Linked DNA regions of Cricetulus griseus. The main gene of each other region encodes a partner of the protein of the gene in region 2 in a complex. Links are inferred from orthologs where the notes say so. Each region holds a gene or a part of one and is shown on either strand. Other genes may lie near its edges.

Region 1 (3,814 bases), on a different chromosome or scaffold from region 2:
GAGTAAATTCCCTGGCCAGGAATCAAGCAGATACAAAACAATAACTTGTGGGGATTGGGATGTAAACAGTTGGTCATGATAGGTCCGTAGAGTTTATCTGTGACCAATCAGGTATCTTTCAACTCGGATGATTCAGCTTCCACTTGCTAGATAATAGTTCCTTCACCATACACACAAAGTAGTAGTGTGTCTTGCTGAATGCAACCTACATCTTTCATAGAAGAAATATTAGATAGATCCCATTAACATTGTCGATGCAAAGCATGGCTTCATGAATTTGGTGAATACACTCAACACTAGAGAGAGGATTTAACCAGGGCCATTCTGACACATTTGTGAATCTGTAAACTAACAGCTGAATGCAGCTGACCAGCTGCCACTTCTAGGAACCCTGAGAGTATTTAGGTAATGCAACAATCAACCCTAACAACTATTTTGTTTTGAAGGTTGCTGGGAAAGGATGCAGCCATTACAGGGCATGTTCTATTGGAAACCCAGTGTTAAAACTGAGGGTATGGACTGTGGACATCTCTGAATGGGAACTTTTGGTTAGGGAGCCTATGCAGACACAGGCAGACACACCTGAGACATGATCCAAGATCACTTCCTCACAGAAGCTTCCTCTGTGTTCTCATTCCTCCTCTCAAAGGTTATTTCTATACCTGATGTATAGACATAAGTAAAGGCCAAGCGACTCTGCCAAGATCACAAGCAGAGCACAACTGAGACTGGAAGCCCGGTACCCCCCTCTGCCTTGTGGGTCTGTCTCTGCTGTCCCTCCAACAGCCCACACAGCACTACGGCCCTTCAGAACCCAGACAGCTCAGCCTGAACAGCCACTCAGAAGAGCAGCCTGGGGGGGCTTTCTTCCTCACCTCAGCCTTTTGCCACCTCCAGCTTACCCTAGTCTCCACCTCATTTTAACTTGGAGGTGAGGCCGACGGTCTCGGTCTTCATGAAGAGCCTCTACAGCCTATAGAAACCCTCTGCAAAGACGAGGTTGAGCAGTTAACTCTGATTAAAGTGGTCCTGACTCGGGTTGAGTCACTCTATGGACCTGTCCTCAAGTACCCCAGAGGCAAGAGTATTCCCACACTCAGATCTCTTCTCTGGTGCTTCCTCCAGCCAGAGTACCACCTTAGAGGGATCCATGCACAGTTTGAGCAGCAGAGGACTGTAAAGAAGGGGCTGGGCTGGGGGAGCTGAGTCTGATAGGGCAGCAGCTATGCAGGCAAGTAAGGCTCAAAAGTTGAGACTCAGCAGGGCCTCAGAAAGCTGATTAATATCCCGGCAGTATGGTTCCCGCTGCAGGATGAAGTCCACCTTGTGGTCCTGACCCCAAAACACCTCCAGCAGCTGGCGCCGGAGCCGCTCTGTCTCCCGGGTCTTGCGGATACCACCACTGCCTCTCTCCTCTTCCTTCCCCTGCTTCCCCTGCTGCTGATTACCATGGTCTGTGGGGCCCCTGGAGGGCTGGGGAGTCTTAGCAGAGCCCTGTTTCCTGGAGAAAAGCAGAGTAAGAACTGATAAGTACTCCTGAGAAAAACTAGGCCCCAGGGAGCCTCAGCCAAACTGACCAATTTCCAGCTTTAGGAGATGAATTCATGAAGTTCACTAAGCCGGCCACTGAGTGGCAGTATCAACCCACTAGGAAAACAACCCTAATGAGATGTAGCCCTGTTTCATCACTTGCTTGAGGAGCCAACAGAGGGTGTCGGGGTACAACTGGCTATCATTACATGCAACCATCTCCCAAATAGCTCCATCAAACACACTGACCAGAAGAATAAAGAAATAAATGTATCTCTGTGTCAGGATTCCCTGAGGGGACTTTAAAGACCAGTCCCAAAAACTTGAGACTGCTGCGGAACTAAGCTGGCCCAAACTGCGACACTCCCATCCAAACCTCCAATCCTTCAGAGGAGCAGATCTCAACAGGCTGCAGGCAGAGAAGGGGCATCACCTGACTGTCTTCTTCAGGAACTCATCCAGGGTGGGGCCATTTCGCCCCAGTGGGTCATCTGGGACCATGAAGAGGTTTCCCACAAAGGTGAAGGGCAGCAGGCTGGATGAGGAAAAAGGAAGTCACAGAAATGACCGCACCCAGAGCTCCTGGCTGTCACCCTGAGGCACCTCCAGGCCCTTCCCCAGGGTTCTCACCCAGTGGTCAGAGAAGAGCTGGTTTTAGAGAAAGGTCTGAGTCGGTGCCCTATTCTCACCGCTCTCTGATGATCGCCATCCACTTGTCAGACTCCTCCGCCAGATCCCGGAACTGGTCATTGGAGACAATGATCCCATCCGTCTCTTCAGCCAGCTTCACCATGAACCTGTCTCAAGAAAACACAGACACCATTCTGGGATTCTCCAAGGACCAACCCCACAATATGCTATCCATGCCTGAGACCCAATTCTGGTGATGGAGGTCAGTCTCCCAACTCGTTTACTGAAGTGAAGCGTGAGGGGAGCTTCTTGGGAACTGGGCCCAGACCGTCGTGCATCGTAGGCAAGTGCTTTACCACTGAAATTGTAGGTAGGTAGACAGACAGACAGACCAAGGGAGTGGGGCTAAGAGATAGGCAGGCATGGTGGCGCACACCTTTAATCCCAGCACTCAGGAGGCAGAAACAGGTGAATCTCTTGAGTTCTAAGCCAGCCTGGTCTACATAGTTCCAGGACAGCCAGGGCTACATAGAGAGACCCTGTCTCAAACAAACAAACAAACGAATTGCAGACAGGATCTTGCTAAATTACTCAGTCTAGCCTTGAATTCACTCTGTAGCCCAGCAGGCTTTGAACTCTCCATCTTGCTAAATTACTCAGTCTAGCCTTGAATTCACTCTGTAGCCCAGCAGGCTTTGAACTCTCCTTCTTCCTGCCTCAGCCTCTCAAGTAGTTGGGATTACAGCCTGTGCCTCCGTATTCAGCTCCTCCCCTCACTATCACCCAGCCACAGCTGACTAACTAGACATAGGCACCAAGATTAGAGAAGAAACAGTGATGAATCCAAGGTAGTCTCCCAACATCATCCCATTCACAACCCTTTACAGTAAGAGTGAGCTATAACTTTCTCCCGCCCTGCTAGTCGCTCACAAACCTGCATTCCTCCTCTGACCTTTCCATGCTGCCTTTCTTTCCAGGGCAACAATCGCCTTACTAATTCAGACATTAAAACAATACTACTGCCAGCCTCCCACCATCTTCCTGCATCCTCACCTGCTCTTCCCCTACATAGAGCTCTTCACCCCAATCCAGCCCAAGTGAGAGGCCTTGAATAAGTCCACATGGCCAAGCTGGCAGCTAACGGCTCTAGAATCCACCCGGATGCCACTCTTACAGCCTTTTCTCTCTCAGTATTCCCTAATGTAGCCTCAATTCCAGCCAAGATCAGTGATCAGATTACACTCTTAACCAGTCAGTTTCTTCTTATTCCCTCCATCTCAGGGTGTATCCTAAGCCTCTACAGTGACAGCCACTAAGGAACTCGCTTCCTGGGAGCTGGCTGGCGGTCTAGCTCAGCTGGTAGAGTGATTACCTAGCTGCACCAGGCCCTAGCTTCAATCTCCAGCACTATATGGACTGGGCAGGGTAACATACATGAGTAATCTAGCATTCAGGAGGTGGGGATAGGAGAATCAGAAGTTCAAGGTCATCCTTGGTTACTCAGTGAACCTGAGACCAACCTGGCTACATGAGACCATACCTCAAAAAGTAAAAATAAAAATAGTAAAAGTAAAAATTTCAACTTTTGTTCTTTTGAGATTTATTTTTTATGTATATAGGTGCTTTGTCTGCATGTAGGCCTGCAGACCAGAAG
Region 2 (3,814 bases):
TTTCGTTCTTACCATGAACAGATAGTGCTGACATTTGCAAATGACTTATGTCATTAGTTTTTACTCTAATGTCCACACACGTCCCTGATTTTTCATGTTCAGCCAATTCCTTTCTTCTAAGCTCACACTGATTCATGGTAAATGTAGGCATCTGACGACTCCATTATGTCTTAGTACTGTAAAGTCGTGCCGGAGTTACGGCCTTGTATTTCCCTCTTAAATTATATTAACTTTTTTTAATTAATGGAGTTATATGGAGAATATATGTCTGAATTGCACTTTAGAGATTAAAACAGATATTGCTTGTGCGGGGAGGGGTGGGAACCCCGACAGAACAGTTCACTGAGACCCACAGAATTGAACTAGGTGCTTCAGAATGGGCTTAGGAACGACTCAGACTGGGGGAAGCTAGGAGCCTGGGAGGAATTCTAGCTTTCTGCTTGTGTATCAGGGAGCAAGTGATACTGTTTATGGGGTTGGGGCAGGTGAATCTTTGGGGGTGAATCACTTTGAAGCAGGCAAATAGAGTGTTCCATTTTGAGCCTGTTGAACTGGAGATGGCAGGTAAATATCCAACTAGAAGTTAGCTTGCCAAGTAGTTAGATGCACTACGTGTCTACAGTATGAAGTCTATGTCAGAGAATGAGTATTCCAAAATAGAAGATACCACGTGAGAAAAAGAAAAGAAAAATCAGTGAATTAAAAAAGAAAAATTGTGGCAATGAATGACAAGAATCCCACTCTAAAAAATTCTCAATATATCATTATTGGAGACTTTCAAAGTAAAGCAACTGATGAAAAATCTGATCAAATGCCCATTAACGATGAACATGTCTGCTGGAAGAAAATGTAACAGGAAAGGAAAAAATATGCCAGGAAACTCTGGCAACTGGGACAGAACGTTGAGAAAGGGAGGTTGGAAGGAAGGACCTGATCTGTACACAGTAAGCAAGGAAAAAAAATTGGTCCGGGCGTCCTAAATGCTCTAAAAAACCCACACCCACTATGCTTTCAAAAAGATGTGGCTAACAGTAAAGGTCTATGTGGGACACTGCTTTCTCTGCACTGCTTTGCGCTCACCAACAAACCAGTCTTGCCTCCTTACAAGGCCCTTCCAACAGGGAAGGCCTTTCCTGGCTTCTGACAACCCTTCTGTCACTGTACACAAATCCCAATAACACTAGGTTTTATCAGTACTGCAACTTAATCTTACTAAAAAAATCCGGATGATTACACAAAAGCCTGCAAGAAGCATCCTCTGTAATCACATGAATTAGAACTCGGATACCAAGAGCCTCAATGGACAATTAACTCCAGTTAGTTGCTTCTGAACTATACTTAGGGGTGCTTATCACTGTATTTCAGAGTCAACTCCATGGAGTCTGTCTTCTAAGTAAATGCAGAGAGACAGAAATGTGTTCCTCAGGTCAGTTTCATCGCATGGTAATATATAGTATTGCGTACTGCTTTTGTGTCTCAATATCGTTTAAATTTAACCTTTAAACTTTTTTCCTCAGCAAGTTTTCTACTCAAAGCTGCAATGTCTTCTTATATGTCCCTATTTCCATAAACATTATTACATGTCTCTCAAATTTCTCAAACTAATATCCAGTTCAAATTAAGCGAAACCGAAACAATGCTACCTACATACACAATAAAAACAAAGAGTAGATGGGAAAGATAAGATTACAGACAATTTAGAAACCAGCCTCACTAGGAATGTAAGACAACGAAATCTTTTCAAAATGCTGGAGTCATGGGGGCAATTTTTACAAAAAAACTGCCTGGCCAGGGACTGTGAATCTGGAGAGAAGTTTGAGAATGGCTGATTTAAGACGTTAGGTAATGTAGCAAGGAAATGCAAAAGTCTAACTACTGTCTGGGGATGGTTTGGTCCTAGAAGTCAACATAAAGGCTTCGACGCGGCAGTATACATCGTTTTCTAACTAATTATGCAGGCTTTCTCTTTCTCTAGCTCCGTGTACTCAATCACATACGCTGGGTAAATCTGCTCTTTCTGGAAGATGACAAAGACCGAGGGATTCAACCTGCTATCCACACAGCTGTCATAGAGGGCGGGAGCGCTACTGTATCTCATATTTCCTTCAATGGAATTTCCAGCCAAGACTCGGGCGACAAGCATAACAATGTTTTTGGCCTCATATGAACAATTCTTGTGGGAATACATGGCTTCTTTTGCAAAGTAATTTCCTAGAAATAACCAGAAAAAGTGGTAAATTGTTATTTATCAATGAGTATAGGTTATAACGGGATACAGAGAAGCAGACATTGGTATGGGTGAAAAACATCTGCCAATAACACTTACTACTATCCCACCACCTGTCTGTGACCAATAGCTCCAGCTGTCATTGCTACCTACCCCCCTCCTTCCTAGTTGTCCCCAGCACCTCAGTTTGTCATTGTTTTATTTTATCTAGGACAAGGTCTCGCTAGGTAGTGCTAGCTGTCCTGGAACTCTCTATGTGAACCAGGCTAAACTCAAACTCAAGCGATCTTCCTGCTTCTGCTTCCCAAGTACGGAGATTAAAAACATGCGCCACCATTCCCAGGTAGTTTGTATTATTTTTCCCTGAGACAGGTCTGGTCCCCGCCACAGAATTCTACACTGTACTATGCTGCCGGGTCTGACTACGTCACATTCCTCAAACACCCACAAAGAGTGAATGATTCCTCAACAAAAAAAAAGGAGGGCAAACCTCTTTAAAAATAAAAATGTGGCTGACATGAGAAGGGGCCTTGCTCTGTAGAACAGGCTGGCCTCAAATTCACAGAGATCTGCCTGCCTCTGTCTCCCCAGTGCTGAGATTAAAGGCGTGCCCCACCAACTCCCGGCCCCTCTTCCCATTCTTAACTGGAATCCATTGGTGACAACAGAAAGATAGTTTGAAAAGCTCTGCAGTCACAGACATAGGACAGGAAGAGCCATCTCCAGTAAGTGCTAACGGCAGACAATACAGCCAGTAGATGGAGCAGTTTACAAGAATGAAGACCTTCAGTTGTCCCCAGAGAGAAACAAGACCGAAGACCTAGAGCCAAGGCCTAACACCCACACCCCCAAGTCAAGAGACCTGTCCTAACACAGGCTGAAGGTAACTTAGCTTCTTTTCTTCCAGGGCCACCAGAGCCCAGACATGCAAGTTTACAAACTAATGCCAAGAACATCTCAACAAAAGCATGTGCGGAGCTGGAATCATGGCTGTCTCTAGCCCAGCACAAACCTTTTCCATATTTGGTCTCCCGACTATCATTTATGATCCAGTCGAAATTATTTCTACAGATATAATCCACATGAACACGGCATGTTGCATGAAACAGCAGCATCTCATTGTCATTCTTCATCATCAGCTTCTTCCTAATATACAGAAATGTGAGATTCAGTACCAAGAAACTGGGCCAGCAAGATGGCTGCCGCTGAGCATGAGAGCCTGGGTTCAATCGTCTGGACCCACGTGGGCAGACCCAATGACTCCAGCAAGTTGCCTTATGACATGCATGCATGCCCCGCACCCTAGTACCAAATAAATGTGAAAATAAAATGAGCCCTCTTAGTATACTTTAACTACACAGTCCCAAACAAGGTCTGATTATGTCACCTTTCAAAAGTTTCCCAGAGGTCTTGATTCCATATCCTCTTTATCGATACAATCTTGAAATATTTCATGGATGCTTTAAAAAGTTCACTTATCGTGGCATATTCCACATCCTGGCTATCAAGCTCTACCAACTGAAAAAAAAAATTAGATGCTTAAATGTAAACTAGGAAATACTAAAAACATGCTATGTTCACACATGT

Evidence for each region.
Region 1: the proteins of Zc3hav1 (region 2) and Khnyn are in contact, whole or in part, in a crystal structure (PDB 9BGL), measured with the Homo sapiens proteins. The link is inferred for Cricetulus griseus from reciprocal best matches to the Homo sapiens genes ZC3HAV1 and KHNYN. Residues at the interface, in NP_064504.2 of Homo sapiens: Glu5, Val6, Cys8, Phe9, Lys12, Ile13, Ala16, His17, Glu29, Ile30, Ala31, Leu32, Leu113, Glu115, Phe118, Ser127, Gly128, Leu129, Asn130, Glu133; in NP_001277186.1 of Homo sapiens: His651, Lys652, Asp654, Phe655, Gln658, Arg659, Pro661, Tyr662, Asn677, Phe678.

Annotation. Positions count from the first base shown.
Region 1 is NW_023276807.1:211,083,518-211,087,331, reverse strand, and holds part of Khnyn (protein KHNYN), read right to left. Parts: intron 2,328-3,814; coding exon 2,220-2,327; exon of another isoform or gene 2,161-2,219; intron 2,066-2,160; coding exon 1,964-2,065; intron 1,502-1,963; coding exon 1,243-1,501; 3' UTR 1-1,242.
Region 2 is NW_023276806.1:189,850,607-189,854,420, reverse strand, and holds part of Zc3hav1 (zinc finger CCCH-type antiviral protein 1), read right to left. Parts: intron 3,746-3,814; coding exon 3,615-3,745; intron 3,374-3,614; coding exon 3,240-3,373; intron 2,212-3,239; coding exon 1,943-2,211; 3' UTR 1-1,942.